Diceros bicornis minor: one gene and its partners. The protein of the gene in region 2 purifies or fractionates together with the protein of the main gene of each other region. This does not show direct contact. Links are inferred from orthologs where the notes say so. Each region holds a gene or a part of one and is shown on either strand. Other genes may lie near its edges. The genes, in order: UPF3B, UPF1, SMG7 and UPF3A.

What was found.
Region 1: the proteins of UPF1 (region 2) and UPF3B purify together in Homo sapiens (co-immunoprecipitation; 16 studies listed by BioGRID and IntAct, with this or other methods). This does not show direct contact. The link is inferred for Diceros bicornis minor from reciprocal best matches to the Homo sapiens genes UPF1 and UPF3B.
Region 3: the proteins of UPF1 (region 2) and SMG7 purify together in Homo sapiens (affinity purification with western blotting; 7 studies listed by BioGRID and IntAct, with this or other methods). This does not show direct contact. The link is inferred for Diceros bicornis minor from reciprocal best matches to the Homo sapiens genes UPF1 and SMG7.
Region 4: the proteins of UPF1 (region 2) and UPF3A purify together in Homo sapiens (affinity purification with western blotting; 5 studies listed by BioGRID and IntAct, with this or other methods). This does not show direct contact. The link is inferred for Diceros bicornis minor from reciprocal best matches to the Homo sapiens genes UPF1 and UPF3A.

The regions. Positions count from the first base shown.
Region 1 is NC_080781.1:110,330,061-110,338,023, forward strand, and holds the start of UPF3B (regulator of nonsense transcripts 3B), read right to left. Parts: upstream 3,014-7,963; 5' UTR 2,927-3,013; coding exon 2,771-2,926; intron 1,872-2,770; coding exon 1,765-1,871; intron 1,595-1,764; coding exon 1,488-1,594; intron 1-1,487. UniProt on the Homo sapiens protein: Involved in nonsense-mediated decay (NMD) of mRNAs containing premature stop codons by associating with the nuclear exon junction complex (EJC) and serving as link between the EJC core and NMD machinery.
Region 2 is NC_080759.1:6,387,465-6,394,648, reverse strand, and holds the start of UPF1 (regulator of nonsense transcripts 1), read right to left. Parts: upstream 3,002-7,184; 5' UTR 2,809-3,001; coding exon 2,587-2,808; intron 1-2,586. UniProt on the Homo sapiens protein: RNA-dependent helicase required for nonsense-mediated decay (NMD) of aberrant mRNAs containing premature stop codons and modulates the expression level of normal mRNAs.
Region 3 is NC_080743.1:83,979,135-83,986,794, forward strand, and holds the start of SMG7 (nonsense-mediated mRNA decay factor SMG7), read right to left. Parts: upstream 3,005-7,660; 5' UTR 2,970-3,004; coding exon of another isoform or gene 2,941-2,969; intron 1-2,940. UniProt on the Homo sapiens protein: Plays a role in nonsense-mediated mRNA decay. Recruits UPF1 to cytoplasmic mRNA decay bodies.
Region 4 is NC_080748.1:87,791,849-87,799,615, forward strand, and holds the start of UPF3A (regulator of nonsense transcripts 3A), read left to right. Parts: upstream 1-4,760; 5' UTR 4,761-4,777; coding exon 4,778-4,963; intron 4,964-5,198; exon of another isoform or gene 5,199-5,562; coding exon of another isoform or gene 5,563-5,736; intron 5,737-5,887; coding exon 5,888-5,994; intron 5,995-7,767. UniProt on the Homo sapiens protein: Involved in nonsense-mediated decay (NMD) of mRNAs containing premature stop codons by associating with the nuclear exon junction complex (EJC) and serving as link between the EJC core and NMD machinery.

The DNA of each region.
Region 1 (7,963 bases), on a different chromosome or scaffold from region 2:
GATAAACCAGACTGAAATAGAAGGAAATTGTGGAGATAGGCTGAAAAAAACAGAAGTGAGGCCACACCATGGAGGACCCTGACTACGAGGCTAAGGAGTTTGGACTTTTTTTCGCAACTGCTATTTTAAATCACTACTTTCAAAAAGATTAATTTCAAGGCAGTATAACAGACTGAATTATACAGAGATGGAAAAAATGGAAAATCCTTTAAGTTTAGAGACAGTGGTTGTCTAAGCATTAGGTGAGAGGACATCAAGTGTGAAAGTATTAGTAAGTCTAGATGAACAAGATATTAAAAAACAATAAATTGACAAGATTCATCATTTGTTTAAATGTATGGGATAAAAAGAGAGGAAAAAAACATAACTCAGGGGCTGGCCTGGTGGCGTAGCGGTTCAGTTCATGTGCTCCACTTCAGCGGCCCAGGGTTCATGGGTTCAGATCCTGCATGGACCTACACAATGCTTACGAAGCCATGCTGTGGTGGCATCCCACATACAAAAAATAGAGGAAGATTGGCACAGATGTTAGCTCAGGGACAATCTTCCTCAAGCAAAAAGAGGAAGATTGGCAACAGATGTTAGCTCAGAGCCAATCTTCCTCACCAAAAAAACAAAAAACAAAAAAACACAACTCAGATTTCCAGGAAATCATTGCTATCTACTGGAATAAAGCTGGAGTGGAGAAGTAGCTGGTTTGGGGGATTAATAAAAGCTGGAGAAATACAGTGACAATCCTTCAACTTTTACTGGCATATTCCCTGACAAAGATTTCATTTTTACCAACTTTGAAGTAACACTGAAAAAACATAACCTAACAAAAATACACATCATTTACCTAAGATTGCAAAGCCAAAAGCGAAGTGGGAAATGACAGCTTGGACATTCTCTGGCTAAATGCTGCTAGCAGCAGATAATAAATACAAAGAGAGTTAAGACAAGTTTTTCTTCCCTATAGACTCCTGGATACAAAGTGGGGGATCTACAGGTTCAATGTTTTAATTACATACAACTTAGAATGTTAAACAGTATTCTGAATGGGAACTATTAGCTTAACGGATTTGAATTAAATAAATAAATGTTGGTCCTTGAAGCAAGATGAGAAGTAATTATTTAAAACTTGTCATACAAGTTTAAAGAGTCATTTATCAGTATTAGTGCTGAAACTAGTCAATAGTCAAAACAACACATCTAATCCAGGGCAAAAAATTTATCACAGGAGGAGAAAACAGTGGCAATTTCATTCAGTTGATCAAACTACAGAAATCACAGGTTAATAAAAATACCCGAGGGCTGTGAAAAGTAACATATCTATTTATAAGACAGTAATAAGCTTATCAACGGTGTAAAACTCTAAATGTTGCACATTTCATCACCCAGGATTTTAGAAAAGCTATGAAGGCATTGAGAAGAAAAACACTGTGATACACACATTGTCTTAAACATACAAATGACAAAGAAACTCCCCTTCTATTACAAGGACTCACCTTTATTGTCAAGGAATACATAACCATCAAAGCGATCCCTGAACAAAATAATGTCCTCTTGGTTTTTAAAGTTGATGTATGCCCTGGCATACATATGAGGATACAGACTGCAGAGAGGAAAGCAATTATGTAAATGTGCTTTCAGGTGTCTGGCTGAATTACAAGTATGCATATATTAAAGAGACAGGCTCAAAAATCAAATGGAAAACAGCAGTAGGATCAAGAATGGAAGAAACCTTTTCATTGACCCCCTCCCTCTTTTATTTATTTATTTTACCTAGTATCATTAGAAAAAAACTCAAAATAATCATGCTCGGGCATAGGCTGAAGATGTTCCTGAAGCTGCTCCTTGGTCAAAGTGGGAGGTAATCTCCGAATGACCACCTTGAGAAATGAATAAGGAAAATAAAATGAGTACAAATCAATTTTCTGTCGTACCTGGAAGAATCACCGTCCCCGAAGAAAGCTGGGCTTTAAAAGATGAGATCACTTATAAAAACCCAGGAGAAAAAATTTTTTTAATGCTCAGAATTAGTCAAACATAATGGGAACGCTGTTTTTAAAAACTTAGAAATGAGAACTGCCTAGAGCAAGGAAAACCTCACGTTGCATTAACTCGAAGCCCCGCAGTTTACTAGGTTTTCGCATCATTTTCTCTCATTCGTTTTCCAACAGATGTAGTGGTAAGAAAATAGTGCGCCAACCCTGCTCTTTTGTGGGTGCCACGAACTCTGGATTTATTAATATTTCCCTACCACATCCAACACATCCTAAACCACAATCCTTCCCCATTCAGCATAAAGAATTCAAAACGCTAAAGAATACCAAAAATTCCCTCATTGCTCCCAAAATAGTATGCACCTGATTTGGCCCGAGACCATTAATCCCCCCACACTCCTTCAACTTGCTTCCGTTAATACTCCTATCACAAACTACTCCCACCCTTGACGGCCCCTTAACTATTTAATAATTATCCCCAATCAACCTTTCATTCCGCCTTCTCTTTACTATCGCTCCCCCTCCCATTATCATCTCCCAGCTCTGACCTAACCCCTTCTCGTTTGGGAATCCCCTCCTTTTCCTCACTCTCACTCCAAGGCTTGGCCGGGAGAGGGGCGCCCCGCTTTTCGGACGAGTGGATGAGACAGGGTGATGTGATCTGCACTCAGGTGAAGAAACAGAGGGGGACACTGGGAGAGGAAGAGGGCAGCCCCATTCCCAACCAGCCTCCACGAGTGGCGGACCCGTCCCGCCCTCTCCTGGGCCAACAGTCGGCCAGGCACCTTGCTCAGCGCCTCTTTCTTCTCCTTGTTCCGATCCTGCTTATCTTCCCCTTTGGTGCTGTCCGCCGAAGCCCCACCGCCGCTGCTTGTAGCCCCCGGGGGAGTCAAGAGGGTTACTCGCTTCTCCTTAGGCCTGTGCTCCTTCTCCTCCTTCATGGCCACGGCTTTACTCCTCAAAGCGGCACCTCGGCCTAAACGCCGCTACGCCGGGCACCTACGACTCCCGGCCCACTCCCGTCAGAGCTCCGCCCCCAACAAACGCCCCTAGTGATAAGCTGGGGCCCGCGTTCCATTGGGCCCAGCCAGGATCTCGCGAGACTTCAGGGCGTCCGGGTTCCCTCGGTGGAAAGGTTTTAACACCTGGTCTTAACTTCCCGCCCGCGGAGTCTCCGGACCGCCCAATCGCTTCGCGGCCCAGGCTCCCTCGGGGCCCGCTCTGCGCAGGTCCTTAGCAACTCCACCATCTTGACTAGAACGACTCTTTCGTGGACTACAAATCCCGGCATACAAAGCAGCTACCCGCTTTTTGCCCAGAGTTCTGGAACCATCGATATCTTGGGGTCTCTATTTATAAGTACAGTAAATGGAGTAATTAATTTTGAAAGTTTAGTGTTTTTCAGATCAAAAGATAGGTTCTGCGGGCTGTACTTCGCTTCGTTTTCCTCAGATAAACCCGATGTTATCCAAAGTTTACCTCGCTAGGAGAGCGATTGGTATGTTCTATCATTGATTCTAAGCGTGCTTTCAGAAGCTCTAGAATTTTCTTTTTATATTAAGATTCGGAGATACTTAATAAACATTCATAAGATACTGATATTTAAAGAAGTAATATGACTAGAACGTATGAAATTTGTTTTCATCTCCCTTTTTTAAGTAAAAGGATTGTATGATGGTACTGATGCCCCACAAGGAGGAGAAAATAAAATATAATCCAACTTGCTTTAGATGGGATCACCCTCCTTCCTGCCTTAAAAAACGGCAAGGATACATTATTTATAATAGCCCGAAACTGGAAACAATCCACGTCTGTCAACGGGCAAATGGGTAAAAAAATGGGGTATATTCGTAGAATGAGATACTACTCAGCAATAAAAACGAACTGATATGTCCATCAACATGAATGAATCTCAATATGATTAAGCTGAGTGAAAGAATCCAGACACAAAGAGAGTACATGCTGTATAATCTCATATCAAATTCTAGAAAAAGTAAAACTATAATGATAGAAAGCAGATCAATGATTGTCAGGGGATGGGGGAGGGAGAAGGGATTGATTGCAAAGAGGCTCCAGGGGACTCTGGAGTGATGAAAATGCTCTTTATCATGATTGTGGTGGTGGTTGCATAACTGCACACATTTGTGTAAACTCATTGAATTGTACACATAAAATTGCTGAATATTATTTTATGTAAATTATACTTCAATAAAGTTCAGCCCTCCAGAGTTTAAAAAAATGCAGAATTCGAAAACTATTGCCCTAAATGATGGAGCATTTGTATTTCATCAGATGTAAGATACCACTGCATTTAAGACCACCATTTTTATTATTATTTATATATTTATTTATTTTTGGTGAGGAAGATTGTCCTTAAGCTAAGGTCTGTGCCCATTTTCCTCCATTTTGTATGTGGGATGCTGCCACAGCATGACTTGATGAGCAGTATGTACGTCCATGCTCAGGATCTGAACCTGCGAACCCTGGGCTGCCAAAGTGGAGGGCGAGAACTTAAACCACTATGCCACGGGGCCAGCCTAAAGACCACCATTATTTTATATACCAAGAAAGAAAAAAATGCTGCCAATTGAACTGTGACACACCAACAATTTTAAGATGCATCCTGATTTCAGAGGTGTTAAAATGTGAAAAAATATGTCAGAATCAATTGAACATAGTATTTCTGTATTATGTGCAATTAAGGAAAAAGCAAGAGAAATGGGAGAGAAGGGCAAATGATAAACTAGAGAGATACACAGACACCCACAGTGGGCAGGAACCATGTTAAAGATGCAATAGAAGCCGAAGGCAGAAAGCTGGCTCAGGGCCAAGGTCCCATTTTTGCTGACGTCTAGAATATATTACCCACATACTGTGCTTAAATTTTCTCACCCGTATTGTGAAGCATATGCTTGAGTTTCTAATTCCTGTTGCCAAGACCTTTTCCACGTATTTGGAATCTGTTACTCGATCTTGCCTCCAGTATCTGCCCATTCTTACAAGTCTAGCTTAAGTATTGGCCTCTGACTTACTACCTAGCCCTCCATTTACATCTTTTTTTTTTAATTTATTTTATTGAGGTCATATTGGCTTATAACATTGTGTGTATTTCAGGTGTACATTACTAAATGTCAGTTTCTGTATAGACTGCATCATGTTCACCACCAATAGTCTAGTTTTGAACCATCACCATACAGATGTGCCCCTTTACGTAAACTCTTTTGCCCTCCCCCCATCCCCTCCCCCTCTGGTAACCACCAATCTGTTCTCCGTATCTATGTGTTTGTTTGTAATTTTATTTATTTTTTTTTCCCCAAAGCCCCAGTAGATAGTTGTATGTCATAGTTGCACATCCTTCTAGTTGCTGTATGTGGGACGTGGCCTCAGCATGGCGCGAGAAGCAGTGCGTCGGTGCGCGCCCGGGATCCAAACCCGGGCCGCCAGCAGCGGAGTGCGTGCACTTAACCACTAAGCCACAGGGCCGGCCCCTATGTGTTTGTTTGCTTATCTTCCACATATGAGTGAAGCCATATGGTAATTATCTTTCTCCATCTAACTTGCATTTACATCCTGATGTATGCCTCTGTTTCGGAATGCTCACCGGCTTTAAACCACCAGCTACATGTCAGTCATCAGAGTTGGTGTTCCAGGGCTCAGTCCCCAGACCTCTTTTGTCTACACTCACTTCTTTGTTAATCTCATCCATTCTTTTGTTTTCAGCTTTTCTCTCTTCGATGACAACTCCAAAATTTATATCTCCAGCCCATACCTCTCCCCTGAATTCCAGACACATATATCCAACTGCCCCCTTGACGTCTCCACTTGATGTTTAACACGTTCAGATTCTCTGAATATATCCAAAACCGAACACTTGATCCACACCAACTGTATTAGTTTCCTATTGCTGCTCTAACAAATTATCACAAATTTAGTGGGTTAAAATAACACAAATTTAATATCTTACAGTTCTGTAGGTTAAAAGTCCAACACGGGTCTCACTGGACTAAAATTAAGGTGTTGGCCGAAATGAGTTCCTTCCAGGAGGCTCTAGGAGGGAATCCAGTTCCTTGTCTTTTTCAGATTCTTGAGGCTGTGCATATTTCTCAGCTCGTGGCCCTTTCCTCCATCTTCAAAGCCAGCAACATAGCATCTCTCTGATCCTGCTTCATCTATGTCTCTTTCACTCTCTCTTCTGCCTCCCCCTTCTGCTTTTAAGAACCCTTATGATTACATTGGGCCCACCTGGATAATCCAGTATACTCTCGCTATGATGTCAGATGATTAGCAACCCTAATTCCCTTTGCCATATAATTTAACATAGTCACAGGTTCTGGGGATTAGGGTGTAGACAGCTTGGGGGGTGCATTATTTTGCCTACCACACACTGTAAGGTTTCTTTCTTCTTCTTTTTTTTTTGGTGAGGAAGATCAGCCCTGAGCTAACATCCATGTCAATCCTCCTCTTTTTTTTTTCGCTGAGGAAGACTGGCCCTGAGCTAACATCCATGCCCCTCTTCCTCCACTTTATTTGGGTCGCCACCACAGCATGGCATGACAAGTGGTGCGTCAGTGCATGCCCGGGATCTGAACCCTGGCCACCAGCAGTGGAGCATGTGCACTTAACCGCTACGCCACGAGGCCGGCGCCTAAAGTTTCTTTTTAATTAAACTTTTAATTAAAGTATGACACATGTATAGACAAGTGCACACATAATAAATGTACAGCTTGATGAATTTTCACAAAGTGAACACACTCATGTAACCAGCACTGAGATCAAGAAACAGAATGTTGCCAGCATTCCACATGCTCCCTTAGTGTCCCTTTTCAGTCACTTCCCCCATCAAGAATACAACCATCCTGATTTCTAACACCATTGGTTAGTTTTGCTTGTTTTGAACTTCACGTGAACTGGATTACATAGTACGTATTTATGTTGGGCTTCTTTCTCTCAACATTTGTGACTATGAGATTCATTTATGTTGCCATATGGAGCTTTGAATTGTTCGCTCTCATTATGGTATAATATTCCAGTGTATGAATCTTCCACAATTTATTTATCCATTCCACTATTTGGGGTGCTGCTCTGAACACTGTAGTACATGTCGTTTGGTGATCATATGTATGCATTTATGTTGGATACATACCTAGGATTGGAATTGCTGAATCATGGAGTAAGCATATGTTCTGCTTTAGTAGATAGTGCTAAAGAGTTTTCCACCGTGGTTGTGCCAATTTATACTCTTACTAGCAGTGTGTGAGAGTCCCGATGGCTTCACACCCTTCCCAACACTGGATGAGTATGTAGCGGTAGCTCATTGTAGTTTTACTCTGCATTTCTCTGATGATTAATGAAGTTGAGCATCTCTTCACATATTTATTTTTCACTGTATACCTTTTTAACCTTTTGGTTATTGCACCATGTCAATATATTATTTATTCCAAAGCAAAAGAAAAAACAAACAAAATCAAGGGTTGGGGAGGTGTAGTGGCTCCTTTTCACCAGCTAAGGGGGAAGACAAAAGAGAGAGACAGAGAGAGAGGGAGAGTTATAGAACTCTCCCAAACTTCCTCACATCATTGATCCTCACTGTTTCACTGTACACCCCAAGAACCTTCTTCCCGCTTTGCAAGCTGGGCAATCTCATGGTAGGGACTGCTTCCCCACCAGAAAAGCAGAAGGAAAATGTTTACACATGCAGAAAAACCTTACTGTAAAAATTCTTCCCTGGCCTTCATTGGGCAGGCCATTTTTTATTAGTTGTATTGCCCCTTTTATATTAATCCTTTCACAAATAAAACCCCTTATGGGAATCATCTGTGACTGCCTGGCATTCAACTCCACTCGGCATAATGAGAACTATAAGACTAGCATCCATTTTCAAGATCAAAATGACTTTTATTTAAATGCTGTTGTGGTCGTCGTTGTTTTTAATTAATTCTTGTCCCAGACCAGCTCTGAAATTTACCTAAATCCCAAGC
Region 2 (7,184 bases):
ATGGAACAGATACTGCTACACCATGGACAAACCTTGAAGACACGCTCAGTGACAGAAGCCAGACACAAAAGATTACATACTGTATGATTCCATCCATATGAAACGTTCAGAGTAGATAAATCCAGAAAGATTAGTGGTGGCCTGGGGTTGGAGAAGGGAGGATTGACGGGCTGAGGGTTGCAGGGTTTCTTTCTAGGGTAACAAAAATGTCCTAAAATTGATTGTGCTGGTGGTGGCATACCTCTGAATGTATTAAAAGCCACTGAATTGGACACTCGAAACGAGTGCATCATATGGTATGTGAATTCTATCTCAATAAAGCTGTGAAACAAAAGAGACCACACAGCAGTTGACAATTCACAGCCACTCATCCAATAAGACGGAATGAAAAGGCATTCACAATGGGAGGTTTTTTGAGTCTTTCTGGAAGCCCCATCGTATAGCTGGTTATACAGCCAACTCCTGAGGACAAATAAGGAAAATCCTCCCAAATGCTGCAGGCAGCCAATGCCACCAACTGGCACAGGAGATAATTAACTTTTTTCCCCTTTGTGATTCTATTCAGACTTTCCTATGCCCAAATTCAGGGCCTCCTCTTGTGACACAAAGGATATCACTTCCCTTCCCCAAATACAAATCAAAAGTTAGGCTATAGGTGGGTGGATCCTTAGGCTTCATTAAAAGGAAGGACGGACAGACCCTTCTGATGTCATCAGAACTCAAATGAGCTCAACTGCAAGGTTTACCTTCGGTGGAGCGTTTTAATGCTATTATTTTGTACAGTGTTCAGGTGCAGGAAAATAAATTGATTACTTCAACTGAAAGAGAAGGACACGCCTCACAATTAATCGCAAACAGATGGCAAGGAACAAAACTAGAACTCAGAGCTGCCCCAGGTTTGCTGTTTTATATTGGCTGCAGTTAAAAAAAGATTTGCAGTAAAACGACTACCTTTCACAACCCTGAGCTGCTACAGAGCATGGCACACTGTTCAACCAAGAGATCTTTATCCTCAGCCTTCCAGGTATGCTGGCCACAAGTTACAGGCAGCACTATCTGGTCCATTCATACACGAGTCCAGATTTCATGAATGTTGAAAAGTAACAAAAACATAGCTGCTACCTTCATTTCACAGCTGTGGAAACAGAGGGGTCTACAAAGCTTGAAACTACAGGCGTTAGCAGCAGCCTCCAGCGGCTCCTTCATTTCTCCATGCAAACTCCCCTCTCCTACCTCCCTCCACCATATGTAAACAAAACTGAGAAACATACATACTTGTACACCTGTTCTCCCCAATGCCCCACCCACTGGACTTCTATTTTTAAGGAATCTGGGGTTAGAATGAGTCAAATGTTTTCTGCTTGTATTAAGGGCTAAAAGAAAGAAGTGGGTGGTCTACCCACTGGAGTGACTCAACCAACTAGAATGTAAGCCCCCTCCCCCAAGGACAGGATCTGAGCTCATTCCTGCTGAGGATGGGTGGCTCCCCAGCCCTGGCAGTGGGTCCTCAGAGCAAAGGACACCTGTGACAAAGTGAGCCTCTTAGCTCCTCCCTGGTTGAGAATTCAGGAAAATAAACCTGAGGGAGGTGCTGGGCACAGGGAAATTTGGTAAACGTAATCTGAGATCCAGAGAATGACCGCAACATTCCCTGGGACCCCAGCCAGACCCCTCTCCCATCCTGGGGCAGGGACCCAGGTCACCGAAATGTACGCCTGATACTTCTCATAACCAAACTCAAATTTAAAACACCCAAGTAGGCTTTGCCAAACGTCCATATCATTAAAAACAAAAGTTTCTGACGTGGCAGACCCATTTATGTAAAACTCACTATCACTGCCCCATTGGAGGAACAAACTCAAACCCAACTTTTCCAAGGCAGGGCTGTGCAGTTACGTAACAGGTCAGTTTCAGCAACAGGCAATGCAAGAAGGAAAAAAAAAACCCAACCTGCCTCTTCAATAATCTTAATAGCCAACGAGCGTGGGGCTCTCGACTGGAGGCAGAAATTCCATTTCTGTTCCAGGAGCATCTACCGTCACCCTCGCCAGCGTCCCTGGGCCCGGGGAAATTTGAACCCGCTGCTCAGTGGGCATGACTGGGGGGGGTGCCCAGATTGCTGCGACCACAGGCAGCTAGTAGGGCAGGGCGGCGGGACTGGCCAGAGGAGGGACCGGGGCAGATACCCCCGGAGCCGCCTTGAGCAGGGCACGGACCCAGGTGGAGGGGTACTGGGGGGCAGATCACCCCCGACCTGGCCGGAATCAGTGCTAGGGCAGGTCACCCCGGACAGGCCCGGAAGAGGACTTGGGGCAGGTCACCTAAGACCCAGCCTGAACTAGATCCTGAACAGATGACCCGGACGCAACCAGAGCGGGACTCAGAGCGGGAACCGGGGCAGGTTCCTCCCGGCAAGTCATGAGTGAGATCCCGAGCCAGGTTACCCGGCAAGTCCTGAGTGAGATCCCGAGCCAGGTTACTCCGGACCCGGCCGGAGAGCGGGACCCGGGGCGCATTAGCCCGGCAAGTCTCCGGCCGCCGAGAAGAAGCCCGTCCGGGCTTCCGGCGCCGCCATGTGCCGCTCACCTGCGCGTCGAGCTGTCCGGCCGCGGCGCCCGCGCCCACGCCGACCGGGCCCCCTGCGCCGCCGCCGCCGGGGCCGCCGGGGGGCGTCTGCGTCTGGCTGGGGATGGTGAAGTCGGTGAACTCGAACTCCGAGCCCTGCGTGTCGGCGCCAAGCAGCTCGGCCTCCTCGGTGTCCAGGAAGGTGAGCGTCTGCGAGCTGGGCCCGTACGCCTCCACGCTCATGGTGCCGCCGCGTACGGCCCTCAGGCCGGTTCCGCGCCGCACTCGAGCCCGCCGCCGCGCTGAGGCCTAGGCCGCAGGCCTCGGACTTCGGACCGCCGCCGCCGCCGCCGCGCTCCCGCCCCTGGACCGGACCAAAACGCCTGCCGCGGCGCAAGCCGGGCAGAGAGTCACGCGCGCCGAGCCGCCCCCGCCGCCGCCGAGCCCCTGAGCGCCGCCGCTCCTCTCGGAGCCGCCCGCCGCTCGCAGCTCCCAGCAGGAACCGCCGCCGTGCGCGTGCGCGAGCCCGACGCCGGCGCAGGCGCGCGCGCTCCTCGCGGCGCCTCCAACCGCGCCCGGACGCCCGGAGCCGAGCGGGCCGACAGGAGGCGCAGCGCGCGCGCGCGGGAGGCGGGGCTTCCAACCGCCGCCGCGGCGGCCGCACGAGGCCGTGGTCCCGCCCAAACCGCAGTTCAGTGGCGCCCGGGCGGCGGGCGGTGAGGGTGTGGTGGTTGTGGCCGTACCGACTGCGACAGTGCCTCGGGTTAATTGAGCAGTAGCTGAATGCATTACGTAGGTGGTCTTGGAACACCCAATTGGAGAGGCTTGGCGGCACGGCGCACCCTCATGTCTCGGAGAAGCTTCCTGGGCCTCGGTTTCCCCATCCGTAAAATGGGGGTGCCTGACCCATAGTAGATGCTCACTGTGCACTGGTTGAATAAACAAATGGGGGCAGTCCTTAGCACGGAGCCTGGCACGCATAAATGGTGGTTGCTGCTGCTTCGGACAATAATATTATTCAAGAGGCAGTATATGATAAAGCGATTGGGAGCGCTTGCGCTGGGGTGAAATCCAGATCTGGCCACCTACTGGCTGTGTGACTGTACAAGTGAATTCGCCTTTCTGAGCCTAAGGTTTCCTCCACTAGAAAAGGATGATAATAACCATCAAGATGGGATGAAGAATAAGTGAACTACTATTCACTCCCTTAATTGTTAAGTAAGGAAAGTTCCACATGGACAGGGGCTGGCTTTGTTCATCACATGGTCTTCCCCTTGGGAAGAGTAATGCCCACACACAGTAGGTGCTCAGTAAAAGGTTGTCCAAGTTCAGCTACTGGTTTATGAGCCTTAATCTCCTAACTTCCAGCCTCTAGCTTCCTTTTTTGTAAAGTGTCTTGGAGAACTCGCCACTTCCTTTCTGTCCCAAGTTTCTGAGGCTCTCTAAATACTTGAAGTCAGCTCACAGGGCTCCTGGTTTGCACAGCTGCACTAATAGTTCCTGATCCTGCCTGGTTCCTCATTTTCCAATATTCCTGTCACGACGTATAAGAGGTTCCTTTTTCCTTCTTCACATCTTTTCTGGTCTCCTACTATGCACTAAAATGTGAGAATATAGAAAATGAATAATTAGGTGCTCCCTCTCCAGGAAGACACAGTTGAAGAGGGAATCCCAACAAGCCAATGGATGGTTTTGATAAAAAACAAAGCCCTCTTTGGAAAATATCCAATTGAACTGGTAAAAGCATATAAGACCAATGTGGTAACACTATCAGTTTTAAATGCAGGCCCCTCTGCACCTTTGATCTAGCAATTCCACTTCTAAGGCTCTCCTCTTTTTTTTTTTTTGCTGAGGGAGATTGGCCCTGAGCTAACATCTGTGCCTATCTTCCTCTACTTTTTTTTTTTTTTTTGGTAAGGAAGATCAGCCCTGAGCTAACATCCATGCCAATCCTCCTCTTTTTGCTGAGAAAGATTGGCCCTGAGCTAACATCCTTGCCCATCTTCCTCCACTTTATGTGGGACGCTGCCACAGCATGGCCTGACAGGTGGTGCGTCGGTGCACGCCTGGGATCCAAGCCCGGGCCGCCAGCAGCAGAATGTGCTCACTTAATGGCTACGCCACGGGGCCGGCCCCTACTTTTTTTTTTTAATATGAGAAGCCACCACAGTACAGCTTGACAAGCGGTGCAATGGTGCGCACCTGGGATCTGAACCTGCGAACCCTGGGCCACCAAAGCTGAGTGGGCACACTTAACCGCTTGTACCACCAAGCCGGCCCCTAAGGCTCTCCTCTTATTTCCTACATATACTCACATTTGCAAAATGACATTTTGGATGGCACACTAAAGCATGTCTAATACAAAAGAAGTCCGTAATGGAATAATTGAAAAAAAAAGATATAAACATATAGAAAACAAATAACAAGATGGCAGAAATAAGTCCTTATCAGTAATTACATTAAATGGAAATGGATGAAACTCTTCACTTAAAAGGCAGAGATTGTCAGATAAATTTTTTTAAAAAACACAATTTAACTATATGCTGTCTACAAGAGAGTCACTTTAGATTCAAAGACACAAATAGATTGAAAGTAAATGGAGGGGGCCGGCCCCATGGCTTAGCGGTTAAGTGCGCACGCTCCGCTGCTGGCAGCCTGGGTTCGGATCCCAGGCGCGCACCGACGCACTGCTTCTCTGGCCATGCTGAGCCTGAGTCCCACATACAGCAACTAGAAGGATGTGCAACCATGACTTACAACTATCTACTGGGGCTTTGGGGGAAAAATAAATAAATAAAAATTAAAAAAAAAAAAAAGAAAGTAAATGGAGGGGCTGGCCCGGTGGCATAGCGGTTAAGTGCGTGCACTCCACTGCAGCAGCCCGGGATTCAGATTCCGGGTGCGCACCGACGCCATGCCATGGAGGAAGATGGGCATGGATGTTAGCCCAGGGCCAATCTTCCTCAGCAAAAAGAGGAGGATTGGCATGGATGTTAGCTCAGGGCTGATCTTCCTTACCAAACAAAAAAAAAAATAGAGGAAGATAGGCACAGATGTTAGCTCAGGGCTGATCTTCCTTACCAAAAAAAAAAAAAAAAAAGAAAGTAAAGGGATAGAAAAAGATATTCCATGCAAACAGTAAAGAAAAGAGAGCTGGATTGCCATATTAATATCAGATAAAATAGATGTTAAGACCAAAATTGTTACTTGAGACAAAAAACATTATATAATGATAAAAGTTCTAATCTATCATGAAGATATAACAGTTATAAACATATATGCACCTAACAACAAAGCCCCAAAATACATGAAGCAAAATGTGATAAAATTGAAAGGATAAATAAACAATTCAACAGTAACTATGGTTTACTATAGAGCAATGGAGTCAAAGGCTCAGGGAGATTGGAATGTTAGAGTGGATTTGTCATTTAAGACTCACCCTCAGAGGGTCTAGAGGATACACCTTTCACCATGATTGTGAGAAATAAATTTGTGAGGGTAGCCCCAGCATCCTTGAAGAGCTCTGTGATCATTCTTCTTTGTAGGCCAGAATTTATAGTGCTACCTGCTGCCACTTATTTGGGAAACCTAAATGCAAGAGAGTAATTGGATCCCAGAGTGTCAGGGGCCAAGCGGTGGCACTCAACTACCAAAGGCAAGGTGGGTGTGGTCACCATAATGGACATTAGAGTCGAAGCAGCAATCAGAAAAGTCTGACTCACAGAGACTTTCTGCGTTGACTAGTTGATCATGGTGTTCCTAGAAGTGAAATAGATGGGAAGCCTACTAAATTCTTACTTGCTCTATACGAGCCGAAAAGTTCTAGGTCAAGTGAGCAGAAGTATAACTTGAATCATAAAAACAGAGAGTCACAGCCCCCTCAATCAATTCTCAAAGTTGAGGCAGTTCACAGACCCAGAACCCTTTGAATGAAGGGGAGGCTGGGTCCCCTCAAGGAAGGACCCTGGTGCACTACTGGAATTTTATGCTGTAAATCTTTCTCCCAGACTTTCCCTGTGGGGCCTACAGCCCTTTACCAGGGTGACTATGCATTGGGGAAAGGGAAATAATCAGACCTTTCAGGGACTAATGGACACTGGCTCTGAACTGACACTAATTCCAGGAGACCCAAAATGTCTCTGTGGTCCACCAGTCAGAGTAGGGCCTTATGGAAGTCAGATGACACTGGAGTTTTAGCTCAGATGCATCTCATGCTGGGTCCAGTGGGTCCCTGACCTCCCCCATCCTGTGGTTATTTCCCAAGTTCTGGAAGGAATAATTGGAATAGATACACCTAGCAGTTGGCAGAATCCTCACATTGGTTCCCTGACTTGTGGAGTGAGGGCTATTATGGTGGGAAAGGCCAAGTGAAAGCCACTAGAGCTTCCTCTACCTAAGAAAATGGTAAACCAAAAGCGATGCTGCGTTCTCAGGGTTCCACAGGTGAGTGCTGCCATCAATGACTTGAAAGATGCAGGGGTGGCAATTCCTACCACATCCTCATTCAGCTCCCCTGTTTGGCCTGTGCAGAGGACAGATGGGTCGTGGAGAATGAGAGTAGATTATCATAAGCTTAGCCAGGTGGTGATTCCAGTTGCAGCAGCTATACCAGACATGGT
Region 3 (7,660 bases), on a different chromosome or scaffold from region 2:
ATCTTTAAGGGACTCTAGGTCCCGTGCCTGTTCAACTTTAGCTGGAAAATATAGGTTATTTAAACACTGTGTTCATTCTTATTCTTTTCTCCCTTCCTCAGAGAACTAAACTCATCTTGAGCTGTGTACCACTGACTCCACAACCTAAGGATAAGCCTTCCCTACCATGTTGATTTACAAAACATAAGATACAGTAACACAGAAGGCTCCCAAAGCCAAGACATCTTCTCATTAAAATTACCACCACTCTCTCAATCTGCTTTTCATCATACTTTTCTAGTACCACTGCCACCACCTTATTTCTGGCCCTAACTGCCCACCATTACACTTAAACAGATTCATCTTCCAACTTCATAGCTATGAACATGTAAACTCCCTTCTAAACAAATCATCTCAGATTCTCCATTGTCCAACCATTTTAACTACAAACTACAGATCATGATATTCAAGACCCTCTCAAAGACAAGCACCTTATCAATAGGCTTTCCCTGATCCCTTGTCTATATAAAAGAGCATATCCCTATCTTGCTTTATTTTTCTTCCTAGTACTTGTTACCACCTGATGAACATATTTATCTGTTCATATGTTTGATTGCATCCTTACACTATAATATACCTTTCCATGTTCACTCTTTTGTTCACCACTGTATCCTCAGTGCCTGGAATATAGTAAGCTCTCAATATATATTTGTGGAAAGAGTGGATGAACCCAGACATGTTGCACAGTATAGATAATTTGGAGTTAGAGGACCTACATTTGAGTTACAGAGCTTCCGCATACCAACTATATGATCCTCAACAATTTTAATTTCTTTGGGCTATACTTTCCTCATCTGTAAAAGGAAGGGGTCAAACAATAAGCTATAAAACTCTTAAGTTTTTCCAGCTGCACCACCCTATATTCTGTTTAACTAGACTGAATACCTTGCCCCATCCCCAACCTCCCTATCCACATATCTCTGCTCCTGTTTCCTTCCATTTGAATTCCCCTCTTCCCAATCCCTACCTGTCAGGATACTGTTTATCCTTAAGGTCCATTTTAAGTGCCAATTTCTCCTTGAAGCCTAATAAACTGTAAACTCTGTAAGAGGAGGGTGGAGTTCTTACTTTTCTATTCTCAGCAGTTGGTACAATGCCTCCCATACTGGTGATCAACAAAATGACTGATGAATCACGAGTCTATGAATGAGCAATGAACAAAGGAAGCTCTTCCTGATTCCCCCAGTTGCTCAGGTAATCTGCCTTTGGACTCCTCTAACACTTGGCATCTTTAATGATACTTACCTTATTTTATTCTGTGCTGTTATTAATTTATTTGCCTAATATATACTAAACTGCAAATTCTTTAAAATTAAGGACTGTCCTGATGGCTTCCATATCCCCCCTCTACAGCATCCCACAGATCTTTGCCAGTTTTTTTATTAAGTTTATCTGATATGTTCAACAATAAAGGGATAACAGAGACAAAAAAGACCTCGGTATACAGATATCATTCCAACTACCTTATAGTCATTGGGCACCCATGCTGTGTGGATCCTGTCCCTGTTGAACTCAGGCATTCAACCATAATTCAAAGGTCTCATCATTCTCTCCTCTCCACACTCTGCTTAATAAAACTACTACTACTTTCAGAAGTAGAATAGCCACCCTCATGTGTCACTTAGTACATACGTTCTCTTGCAATATACATATAGGGATCCACTCACACAGCAATACTTTCACTAAACAGCTAAAGTGACTTGTCTGCTCATTTCAGACTTCTAACCCATCCAAATCCCTCCTCCACAAGATATGAAACTACTTTTTAAAATATCTTCCCATAAGCCTGCCTTTCTTAGTTCTGCTCCTGAAAGACAAAGGATACCCATTTTAAGGTTTTCCTTCCCCTTTTCTAAGCAGTAGCAACTCCCCAATTAATCTCAGGCTCTAACAACCTTATTTTTCTCTGTCATCAAGACTTTGACCCTCATTTACCTCTCCCTCCACGCGCTTACTCTGCTTCTATGGAACTTTCTTGGCTGCACAACAGCTAGTCTTTCCATTCAACACACTCTCACCATCAGGTACTTGGTTCCAATGTGTCTGCATCTTCCCCTCCTAAAATGTGTATCAATCGCCCCCCACACCTCACCCCAGACATAATCACATACTCACACATACTCTGCACCCATGAGTCACTCTACCTCCGACATACAAGTTCCTTACACCACTCTTGGTGAATGCACACGACTCTCAGAATGGTATGTTCAGACTACACTGATTCTAACCCAGTTTCTTCCGGGGAACCCAATCCCGTCCATAGTACCTCCCTCTTTCCTCACTTCCTCATCCACTCCCCCTCTTTATGGCCCTACTCCCACCCCACCAACTGACTACAGATGACATTATTCCTCAGCACTTCCACCCCGAGAATGAAGAACAAACTCCAGTTTCCTGCAGTCTCCCCCTCTTCTGGTCCTCCCTCCCCGGCCACCCACACACCCCAGGTGTACAGACTTCCACCGCGTCTTCTCCTCACGCATCGCTCCAGCCAATCCCACGCCACACCACGTTTTCCCCGCCACCGGGATGAGACTCCTCCACACCCACCTCCACTCGGGGTCGCCGCCGCCTCCCCGGGCGCCTCCCCCACCCCTCGCCAGCGAGCCCGCGACCCCGGGCGCGCGCACACATATTCTCCCACTTCCCTAACCTCCGTCCTCGCACCGAGGTGAGCCGGCTTCGCTGGAACTCCGCCCGGCCCGCGGGGGCCAGGCACCCAGGTGTGTGCCCGCTCCGCCCCCTCCCGCGGCTCCCCTCGCAGCCCCCGCCTCCCTGCCAGGGAAGGAGAGGACACAGCAACTCCCCCGCCACCCCGGACATAGCACCTCTGGGTCTGCTGCTCCATGCCCCAACCGTCGGCCCGCTCCCCCCACGGACGGGGCCGACATCGGCACTCACCGGAGATACTGCGCGCTCTGCAGGCTCATCCTCCGCCGCCGCGTCTTCCCGCGAAGCCTCTGTGTGTGTCTCAGGCTCCTCGGAGCGGCCCCGCGGCCCCGCGGGTGCTGGCGGCCGCCGCCATCTTCCTCTCCTCCGGCTCCTCCTCGCTTGGCGGGGGGGTGGGGGTGAGTGAGGGCGAGGGGGAGGGAGCGGGGAAAGCTGCTCTCGCTGCTGCTCCGGCCCCTGGGGCGCAGGGACACTCCGACCCGGGAGGGGGAAGGGGGAGGGAAACGGGAAGGGGGCGGGGGGAAGAGGAGGGAGAAGCGGAGAAAGGAAGTAGGGTTCCTCTCGCGAGATTTCAACGGCGCCGGTCCCTCCCGTTGATTTCCGCCGCTCTGTAGCGCACCGTTTTGGGACCAACTAGCTGTGCGGCGCCTATGCGGCTGCTGAGCTGCCCGCTGGAGGCGCTTGACTGCTTGCGGCCAATCCACCCCTCTCCTCCCGCGCGAGGGGGCAACCCCAGCCTCACTGGGAACATCGAGCCCAAGTCAACTGGGAGTTACACTCAAAATCTTCCCCCGTCTTTCCACTCCACCCGATTTCTCTCTTCCTTTTTCCACTCCTCCACTCTTCCCTACCGGAAACGCCGCCCCTTCCTCCTACAGTTCCGCCCGCCAGTCTCTCGACTCTTGTCTTCCTTTGCGCCCTAGAGAATGACGCTGACCCCCTCCTCTTTTCTGCGGCCCCTCCCTCTGCACGCTGGGAGACTGTGGAGGGTATGGGGTGGAGCCCAGGGAGGAAGAGAAAGGAAACCAATCGGATTGGATAAGCAGCTGCCATGGCAACCGCAGGCTGTAGTTGTATTGTCATAGTAACCAGTGTGTGCGGACAGGGTGACCCTCCCTGCGCTAATGGATTCTCGAGAAAGTGCCCAAGGTTCCCCCTTGGCTTCCCTTCCATCCGAGGCCTCCCCCAGGTTGGGGATCCGGGTAGTTCTCCCGGGCGGTGAAGTTCATTTCCTCCTCCCTTTCCCCTTCCCGCAGCGATAGGGGAGACCCCGAGGCATTCACCGTGGGCTTTTCCACCCGCCTGCGGGCGGGAACCACCTTCATAGTTTCCTGTCAGGGCCGGGCGTGGAGAGGCCTGAAGGCTGGCAGGCGGCGGGCTGGAGCGGGGAGGGCGCGGCGGCGGCGCGAGGCGGCGAGGCGGGCGAGGGGTTTCCCCACAGCCGCCGCGGGCTCTGGGAGGCGGGATCCCGCCAGGACGGGGTCCCTGAGGGAGGAGAACGGCACACGACAGCCGCGATCCCTCTCCTGCCGACAGGGACAGCCGACTTTTCCCGGTGGGTCGACCCCTTACAGAAATCCCCCAAACCCCACCCCACACACACCCTCGGCGACCGAGCCTCCTCGGAGTTCCCCGCGTGGCCTTCTGGCGCCGCCTCCTGCCGCAGGGAGGCCAGAGTGAGAGTGGGAACACATCCTAGAAGGCTAACAAGTGGTCTCCCAGCATTTAGAGCCAGGACGTGGCAAGACGCTGTCGATTGCCATCCCTCTCAGAGACACCGCCCCACCCCACCCCCACCCCCTGGGGGTCCCGTTAGATTATCAAAAGCAGACCTCCAGGTTCCTCCCTCCTCTGCAAACTTCCTCCTTCTCTGATGGGTCTGCAGGGTTGTGGAATTTGTGTATCTTTTGTGTTGAAGAGGAAAGTGTTGGGTAAAACAGTATCAAGAAAAACAGATACTTGTGCGAAGTTCCCATGAAAGGCGTCTAGGAAAAGGATTTTCATTCTTAGAACAAATCTTTTTGAATGTCCAGTGTGTGTATTTTGTGTTCGGTTTGGGGCTAAAAAGCAGGAGTAAAGAATGGGGTCAATAATAATATGGAGTGTATGAGAAGTAGCTGGAGAAATCGTCATCCTAATGATTTGAAGGAATTATTTGACATTTTACAAATTATATTTTCGATTCGTATTAGGGAATCGTTTAAGCAGCTGTCACAAAATACTTCAGGATATGTAACGGTATAAAACAGCCCTCACTGGATAGTTAAAAATCAGGATTTTAATGGGCTATTTTGGTTCGGCTCCATTTGGGTACCTGGATTCCTGCTGTCTTCCATGCTAGGTGAACAGGCGCTTTCAACATCCTTCCCTGAAGTTGCAACAATTGAAAGACTGGACCGGTGTCTGTTTGGAGTATCATGTATAAATTTGGAGGAAATGAAAGTACAGGCTACTTTGAAATAAATTCTAAGGACAGCGTATCATTAAGGAAACAGAAACTGAACTATGCCCCTCCCGCTGCAAACGCCTACTGTGATGGCCGGGTGACGCGCGGTGGTTGCAGCTGTACAATGCTCCCTATCATCGCTGCACCAACGGTTCGCCCACTTGCGGGAAAGAGAGCCACCTAGTGAGAGATTGTTCTCATCCCTGGTGTAGGATCCTGCTTTTCCTTCAACCCTGAGAGCCCAAGGCTGGAGATTACTACTACATATTCCCTAAAATGCCCTACATTTCTTTCCTGAAATTTATTATTAGATTTTTAAAATGATTTTAGCCAGAATAAAAACTTTATGTTATGTAAAATAATTAGTCCCTTAATCATCATCATCATAACACCTTTTATGTCTGTGGCTTATATCTCCAGTATAAACAGTATATGAGCATATATTATGACACTCCTGATAAGCAGTCTGGGAAAATATTACTATCTTCTCATTTTGGAAATAAGGAACCTGGGATCAGAATGATGAATCCTTTTGTTGTGTTGTTTAATCAATAAACATTTACTGAGCACTTATTATATTTCAGGCACTGTCATAGTGAAAGAGACATAGTCCCTGTCTTGGAGGAACCAAGCTTCTGGAAGAGATACCAGAGTAGAGAAATGATTAGGATGCAATATTATGGGTGCAATAATTAAGGTAAGAACAAAGTACTTTAGGTACACAGATGAGGGTGAGAAATATAAATAATCTTTGTATTTTATAGCAGCTTTCCTAAGAATTTTATAAGATTCTTCAATAGCTTTACAATGTCCCTATAAACTAGATAGAACTAGTAACATTTACAGTTTAAAGGTTATAAGAGATTGATGCCCTTATGTGAAAATAACTTTCAAAAATCAATAGGACTCAGAAAAATTATGACCCAGAATTTACATATTGCTTAATGTACATTTTCGAAATCTCATCTCTTTCTACGGCCCCCCTCATCAACAGATTTTTAGAATACAAGCGTCTTTCTGCAATAGATTTTATTCACTTTTTCCCTGGTAGATATAGATTATCTAAACCGAAAGAAATTAGAGAGGTAAAGCTGTCTCACTTTGTTTAATCCTACCTGATTGTAAGTTGTTCAGTTTGTGCCTAACTGATTTTAGGGAAAGATCATAAGCTAGCAGACCCGAGTGTGCCTCCCAACTCTGCCATCTCAGTCTCTGAACTTCAGTTTCTTCCTTGAGCAAAATGGAAACCTTACCTACTACAGGCTTCCTGTGAACTTTAATGATGGTATATATGACTGAGTATGTGAGCGCCTGACATACAACACTGGCTCTTGATAAATGTTAATTTTCTTTTTGCCCTCTTGCTCTTTTATATCAAGCTAAAATGAATGATTTAGAACTACTGCAGCATAAAGTTATTTTTTTAAATAATAATTTATCTAGTCTTTATCTATAATACTCATAGGTCTCACCACATACCCACGTCTATTCTCATTCAGTGCTAGAAGATAGATTTCTTCATCCATGACTCAGATTACAGAAAAGAATACAATATCAGGACATTAGGAGTCAGATTCTAGAGGGTTGAAACTTTTTAAAAACCTTATGTCACTAAAAACAACCTAATATAACTACATTTCTGCCCAAGTAAACCAAGTGGCTGGGTTTCAATCAGACACCAGGTATTTGCTGAGAAGCTACTCTGAACATTGCTATCAAATTTACCCAGAGCTTTGGTAACCTGACGATTGATACATAGCAAGCCTCCTCCCTTTTTATAATAATAGACATCTTACCTGTTTCATGGAATCTTAACAAGCACTAATTTATTTTCATATTTAGCCTACATATTCTGAATGTTTCCAAATCATGTGCACAATTAGGTACTTAATAGATGTGTTTTTGTTTTGATGAGAAGGATTTATCAATTGCAGTCCTTAAGTACACAATGTGTGTGAAGCTGGCCCATGCTCTCTTTAGTACCACACCTCAGGCCATGGAGCTAAGTGATTCAATCAAGTGAGTGATTCATTCTCTTCAAATATCGAGTCAGATACAAATGGACGGTTCATCTCAGGTCTCCTGTTGCTCAAGATTTCATAGACCAAAGGTCAGCAGCCTTTATCAAACAGTTCGCCAAGTGTATATTTATTTATTCACTCCTAAGAGGGAGTCACTGAGCCTGAAGAACGGTCAGCAAGCACTGCAGTCCAAGACCCCAGAGAAGCAACTTTTGGTCTGGGAGACAGTGAGGTGATAGAGAATGGTGGTCAGAACTCTCTCTCCTTCTCCATTTTCTTAATATTTACTAAGGGAAACCTTATTAATCTTCAAGAATTTCTCCCAACTCCCAATAAGAAAACACTTCTGGGAAAGATCCGCACCTTAAAATCTTATCTTCTAATTTAATGGACACAGACCATCTGGAGAAGACAAGAAGAAATGCTCATAGGGTAGACCGACGAATATTAAAAAAGAATATTGTGGGGCCGGCCCCGTGGCGTA
Region 4 (7,767 bases), on a different chromosome or scaffold from region 2:
AATCAGAGGGGTCTTTGAAAATTGACAGTGGTGGCTGTTACTTGGGGAAAAAAAACCATTTGGGCCTTTTGCGAGCTACATTTACAAGAAATATATATCCAGCAAACATGTGAATGCCTGTAGGTGCCAGATACAGGCCTGGGCTGGGCATACAGAGTGGAATAAAATGTAGCTCCTGCTTGAGTAAGTCATCATTCTGGGCTGTAGGGAGTGTTCTTTGAGCATTGAATACGGTGCAACAAATGGAAGTGTGATTAAGGTTCTGGGGATCTCAAATGAAGCCACCGTGGCTGGGAAGGTGTTCGGTTGGGCTGAGAGGGCTTCAGGAAGGTGGGAGGACGTGCTAGGCAGAGGCCATAGCATAAGCCGTGGCTTCATAGTGGTGGCAGCAAAATATGGACACAAGAAATATCACAAGGCATTGCACATACCAGGGCCTAATGAGAAGCTGAGGACAAGAGTTCTTCTCTCCGTTAGGTAATTTCAGTGTTTTTTGGCTGAGTAATAAAAGAATGCCAATGTAGAAACATCACTAAAGAGCTGAAATCAGATATTGAGTTAGATGATTAACTTCTGAATAACATGCAGAAATTAAAGAAGGAAGACCTGCAAATAGATGAGGGCAGTTTTAAAAAAAGATGTTCAGAATACAGATAGTCCCTCATATATGATGGTTCAATTTAGGATTTTTTGACTTAACAACAGTGCAGAAGCAATACGCGTTCAGTAGACGTCATACTTCGAATTTTGAATTTTGGTCTTTTCCTAGGCTAGCGATATGCAGTACAATCCTCTCGTGATGCTGGGCAGCGGCATCGAGCTGCAGCTCCCTGTCAGCCACATGATCACAAGGGTAAACAACCCACACACTGACAACCATTCTGTACCCATACAACCATTCTGTTTTCCACTTGCAGTATTCAATCAATTACGTGAGACATTCAACACTTTATTATTAAATAGGCTTTGTGTAAGTTGATTTTGTCCAACAGTAGGCTCACGTAAGTGTCTGAGCACGTTGAAGGTAGGCTAGACTAAACTATGATGTTCGGTAGGTTAGGTGTGTTAATGCATCTTCGACTTACAGTATTTTCAACTTACAAAGGGTTTATTGGGACATAAAACCCTTGGAAGTCGAGGAAGATCTGTATGTGCTGTGTATTTAAAGACTGCTGAACATTCAGATTTTTAAAATGAATGGTGTCCAAATTTTTCCTATCAGCCCCTTTTGCCCCTACCTCCCACCCTCACTATGTAGTAAAAGATTTTGTCTGGCAACCGCGTTTTCCTTTTTATCATAGATAAGATCATCAGAGCTTTTGATCAGCATAACTAGGCTTTCTATACTGAGTTGGTTTGAGGCAAAAAAGGAAACTGGATCCAGTGTGTGCAACTTGATCATAGGCTTGTCTCTAATGCAATTCCTCTAGACCTTATGAAATACTGAAAATTGTGCCTGGCCCCCTTTGTGGCGTTTTAGAGAACTCAGTTTGGGAACTGCTCTTTGAGTCTTTTGGCCCACTTGAAATGTTACACTTCAACTGTGTCCATACATAGTGAGTGGGATCAAGTGCTGGTTGAGTTAAGTCTGGATTTGCTTCCAGTATCTACCAGTGACTCCCTTAATCTCTCAATGCCTTGGTCACTCCATTCTCTAATTTTTTTGTTTGTATTTGAAGTTCTTGGGAGAAAGGAGCTATGAATGAAATATACAGCCAACATAAATAAAGAAATATATGAGGAAATATGAAAAAATGTGGCACTTAAAAGTGAAGAACTTTCATATAAATTATTCTAATTGAAAGTTACCGTTTGCATGTTTGTAAAAGAAAAATACACAAATGTGATCATGGCTTAATTGCTGTCCCATTAATTGAGAGCCTCAAAAAGTTGAATAAAAATTATATTGGAAAACCTTAACGCCCTGTTTTGTGGGTGCCGTGGGTCTGAGCTCTTAGTTCCTCTAATCCAGCCTGCACATCATCCAGACAGCAGTCAGTGCTGACGCCTGGGCTCCTGAGGATAGTCCAAGTGAGTCTTCTTTCTGTGCCGGCCAATTTCTGCTCACAACTCTGGCACGTTCATTCCACTCCATATATATAGTAAAGCCCTGCACCCATTCGTGCTCTTTGTCAACAGTTTTGTTTTTCTTATATGTAACTGCTAGTCTCTGATGAAACTGTAGAGGAGGAAGACAATTCCTCTACCCCCTAGGTCCTTCTGGGTGGTCTAAGAATTAAATTGACATGAGACAGAATAACAGGAGAAAAATCAAAGTTTAATAACGTGTATACATGGGAGAAACCCAGGAAAGCTGAGTAACTCACCAGAATGGCCAAAGTCAACACCTTAAATATCATCTTCAGCTAAAGACACAGGAGGATGTTGGGGGTAGTGGTTTTGGGCTCCAAAGGGAAGGAAGGAAGGCAATTCACATGGAGATGGAAATGTAAATGTTTGTTAAAAAAGTGTTGGGCCCACCTGAAAGAAACATTTTACATTACATTACAGTTATCATATGGTATTAGCTCTTTCCTGGAACAGACCCTCTATCTTAAATTATTTTAGGCAGTTAGGGGAAGGTCAGAGTTTCAGAGTCTTTTGTTCTTAAAAATTGTTGATGCAAATAACCTATAATCAATCTATAAATCAAAATTGGGGTGAGTTTATCATGAGCCAAATTTGAGGACCACATAGCCTGGGGCCCTCCTTCCCCAAGGAAGGAAGGGCACCAAAGAAGTGGGGTGTACTGAGCGGTTATATACTGTCCAAGTGCATGTATCTCATATGATTGCAATGTCCCTTTTACAATAGTCTTGAGATTGCCCTTGTCAGATTACTCTGTCTGCACAGGGATTGATGGACACAGCAGGCAGCAGGTCTGTTGTCTGGAGTTGGGTGGTCACAGGATGAGTGCAGCAATCAAATCCTAGCCTAGGGAGAAATGCTTATCCTTAAGGAAATGCCAATGTGGGGGAAGTTGCATCCTTATCTTAACGGCATTTGTTCTTGTCTTTGGGACATGTTAATTGCTTAAAGCAGATTTACAATATATCTTCAAAGGCCACAGGCCCTTTTGGAAAAACAAGCTCAGGCCAAATTAGTTTTACACCAAATGACTTCCTCATATGCTCCAATATGCCCTATTGCTTGCTATTTATTTATCAAAATAATCAAGCCAAAGAGACACATTTGAAGTGGCCAATTCTGATCCCCCCCAAAAAGTTCGAATTATCTTGTGATAAGAGATTTTCACACATTGACGTACAAAGGGTAACCCTTTGGGTTTAAACCTGATTCTAGGCTTGAACTAAACAAGCCTGATTTATGGCCTATGAAACATACATTGTACATACACTTTAACCATTAAAGAACATCCTCTCTTAAGAATGCTTACCTCCCCTCCTACGCCCTATTGGTAATGCGGATTAGTCCCTTTCCCCAACATCAGGGTCATGTTGACCTGCTAATTTGCAACTGAATGCCTCTTTGAAATTTTATCCTGGGCATGTTTAATGTATGTTTTTTGTCCTAAAAAGGTGTAAGACTGTACTGAAAACCACTCTTCTCCAGAACGCTTTCTTACTTTCTGGAAAAGGCCCTCCTGGGTTATAATCCTTATTGGTTATTTTGCATCCACACTTTGAGAACAATAAATATCTGTAACTGTTTTATTAAGCACGTGTATGTAACTCGCAGGACTATTCGGCCAAATAGCCAGCTCTCTGTGGGAAGCAGGTTCAGCCCTGTGTGGGAGATCAAGATTTGGCCACCCTGAAATCTCTCTCTTTACCTTGGTTGTTTTCTCTGAGGACATTTGACCTCCCCCACTAACTGCCTAAAGAATTTGACATAGTATCAAACTCTTTGATACTGGAACAGATCTTCTATCTGATGGCTGTAATATAATGTAAAATAGATGTTACAATAGAAAAGGCATCAACAAGCCCATATTATGTCTCTCTGGCCACATTCTCTGGATGGCCCTGCGAGGAGTTGCCAGACAAACATTTACATTTATAAGGGAAATCTCCATTTGTAAAGGGATCTCCCTCTCTGTTTTGGGAAGAGGGGGGATGGCCTCATTTCTAGAGACTTATCACTATGGAAGGTGAGGCCTTAAATCTGCATAATAACCTCACTCTTGTTTACTGGGCTTTAGTGATAATCTTCTGTAACTGACTCCCCCCCCCCAACATCCTCCTTTGTCATTGGCTGAACATGGTATTTAAGACTAGAATTTCTGCTATTGTGTTGAGAAACGCAGCGTCCCTGCTTTCTCCCACGTATACATTGTTATTAAACTTGGTATTATTTTCTCCTGCTAACCTGTCTTATTAATTATTTGGCCAGCCATAAGAACCTAAGGCAAAGGGCAGAGGGAGATTCTCCCTCTCTCCCAACACCTGCAAAGGCTGTTGCTTGAGCCAATCGTCCCCTGGGCCAGAATGTCCTGCTGACACCAAACGAACAAGACTCCAGACCCTCCGAGGTCGAGCTCCCACTTCCCAGTGACCGCACAGCTGCGCAATGTGGCGGCAGGGCTGGTGGGAGGTGCGGCTCCAGGGCCCCCATACAGAGGCCCCAGGGCGGCGGCGGAGGTCGTGGGCCAAGAGGGCGCGCGGAAAGTGGAATACCCGGGGCCAGGGGGTGGCCCAGGGGGAGGGGGCGGAGGGGAACGGAGGAGAGGGGCGGGCGCCATCCAAGCCCCAGCGGCCCAGTTCTCGCGAGGTTCCGCCCGGGCGAGAGGCGGCAGTGGCTCCGCGACCGGTACGAGATGCGCTCGGAGAAGGAGGGGGCCGGAGGCCCCAGGGCGGCTGTTGCTGCACGGCGCTCAACCGGGAGGGAGAAGGCAGCCGTCCTGGAAGTCCAGTTCCGCCGGGAGTCGCCACCGGCCGCGTCCTCCGGCTGTGGGGGTGGCGCAGGCAAACCTCGCGAGGAGAAGAAAACGGCCCTAAGCAAGGTGGGGGCGGGGCGAAGGAAGGGGCGGGGTGAGGACGGGGCGGTGCAAGCAAACCTCGCGAGAGGAAGGGGAATTCTTAGCGCGGTCAGGCGGGGCGAGGGTGGGTGCTGCGCGCCAACCTCGCGAGAGGAGGACGGTCCTCAGCAAGGTGAGGCGGGGCCGCGGGTTGGGCGGGGCGCCCTTCAGCACCGCGGACAGCGGTCGGGCAGCGCTGGCCGAGTTTTCGGCGCCCTCCGACGCGAGCTTTTCCGGCCTGGGGAGGAAGAAATGCCCTGTGGGCCTGAGCACGTTTCCCGCTGGGGCTGAGACGCTGGGCTCCCCGGCGCCTGGCAGTAGCTGTCCGCACTGCCGAGGAGCGCGGCCGCAGGGGGCACGAGCGGGGTCGGTGGCTCGGCGGCTCTGTCAGGGTCCGGTCCGGTCCAGGGAAGACGGCGGCAGCCGGGAGAGGCAGCCCGGACGGCTGGTGAGGTGTTGGAGAGGACCCGCGGTGTGGACACTGCGGACAGGAGGCGGACTTCCCCTGGGCAGTGAGGACGGTGCCCGTGGGTTTGCTCCTGCTGGTGTTCTCTGCGTGTGTCTTGCCTCCTAGTGTGGCCCACATGCAGGAGAGAGAGGAGCGGGTCTTATTTTGCAGCTCGGGCACGGACCGTACGTGTCGTGGTAGTAATGAAATGATTCCGAGGAAGAGGGGTTATGCGCAGGCTTTTCTGACCCCACGGATCCCTTTTAAATTATTCAGCCCTCATTACCCTTTTGACAGCTATGTTCTCCAGGTATTTCTTATCCTTTCCTAAAATGTGTGTTTCTGCTGGACGCCTGGTTTAGATTTTCCTTTGAGCATAAACACAGGTGACCAAGCATTCAAATAATTGAAGCTTAATACAGTGATAGTGAAACAAAACCCAGGCAGCGACCTTTCCCCAGGTGGTCATCCGGCGGCTTCCTCCCAGCCTCACCAAGGAGCAGCTGGAACAGCAGCTTCGCCCGCTGCCTGCGCACGACTCCTTCGAGTTCTTCACTGCCGATCTCAGGTGAGAAGCTGTTTACCGACGTTAAACAGCTGTGAGGTATTGTCAGTGGTGGAAATTTTTGTAGATAATAGGAGCCATCTTCGTTTCCATCTTCTTTCCCACACGTACCCAGAAATCAGTGCAGACCTTTGTTTCTAAGTTATTTCTAAGTAGGCAGATCATTAAATTCCTCTAAAACAGATTTGGAATATGCCTCTGCTGTCACTACCGTAGTCTGAAAAGAAAAACAGACAAACTAACAACATATTACTCAATTTTGGATATCAATAAACTATTTCATAGAGCTTTTTAAAGTAGATTTTATTAAGATATAACAAAGAAAAGTGAATGAATAATAGATGTATAACCTGATGAATTTTCACAAGTGAACACACCCATATAATTAACACCAGATAAAGAAACAGAATATCCCCGACCCCAGAAGCCCCCTTGTACTCCCTTCTATCACTAACACCCCGACCCTGCGCATGCCCGGTCATGTCTTTTTCAATTCCCTGTTACAGCTTGGTAATAAGATGACTCTGACAACACTGTAACACTTCCAAATTTCCCTTTTAATGACACAGAGGGAGCAGACCAGGTTAGACCTTCAACAGGTGACAGTTCACCTAGAATTTAGTGATTTTCATTATGTTTTTATCATGATCTTCATTATCATTGTTATTGTTTCTATTCTCAATATTGTGAGTTCTCAATTATGGTAGCCATAGGAACTTTCCTTTAGAATAAATGCATTTAAGTAAAAAACGTCAGTCCATTCAAAGAAAAATATCACTAAGAGGTAACTTTAGATATAGTTTAAAAACCCAACAGAAAGATGGTTTTCAAATGACTAAAGTTTAGGAAAACTGGTGCCGTTACAGGAAGACGGGCACTGGTCTCAGGTGGGATCCCAGGCCCACCTTTTAACTAACACGTCCTCTCAAGTTCCTGATTTCTCAGTGTTCTCATCTGTCACGTGGGGCTGAAAGTTCCTGCCTATGAAGGAAATCGGTAGCTGTGAGACGGGAGAAAGGCTTCGTTCTTTTGTAGACCTCGTACCATGTGCTCCAAGAAATACTCTTAAAATACCTGCAGGTTTTCTCTAAGTCAGTGAAGGATCTCTTTACAGCACAGCATTGTCGCCTGTGAACGGTCCTCACTAGGTGGTGTCGCAGTGGTGACGCATGGTGAGGGATGACCTTTGAATAACCATGCCTTTGGTTTTCAGCCTCTGAGGACCAGTTATTTTATAATTATTTATTTATTTATTTATTTTTTCCCCCAAAGCCCCAGTAGATAGTTGTATGTCATAGCTGCACATCCTTCTAGTTGCTGTATGTGGGACGCGGCCTCAGCATGGCCGGAGAAGCGGTGTGTTGGTGCGCTCCCGGGATCGAACCCGGGCCGCCAGCAGCGGAGCACGAGCACTTAACCGCTAAGCCACGGGGCCGGCCCCAGGACCAGTTATTTTAACCCTGACTCTGTGCAGTAGAGAAACTGACCTAAAGGGTCTCCCCCAAGTCATTAACAAGGTCTCAGTTCGTGTTTTGTTTGTTTGATTTTGATTTTTTGCTAAAGAATATCCATTTTGTAATTAACTGAGAGATGATACTTTGGCATAAAGGTTTTATCTAAAGTAGTTTGTTCTAGGGCCAGCCCCGTGGCTTAGCGGTTAAGTGCTCAAGCTCTGCTACTGGCGGCCCGGGTTCGGATCCTGCGCGCACACCTGATGCACCGCTTCTCCCACCATGCTGAGGCCGCGTCCCATATACAGCAACTAGAAGGAAGTGC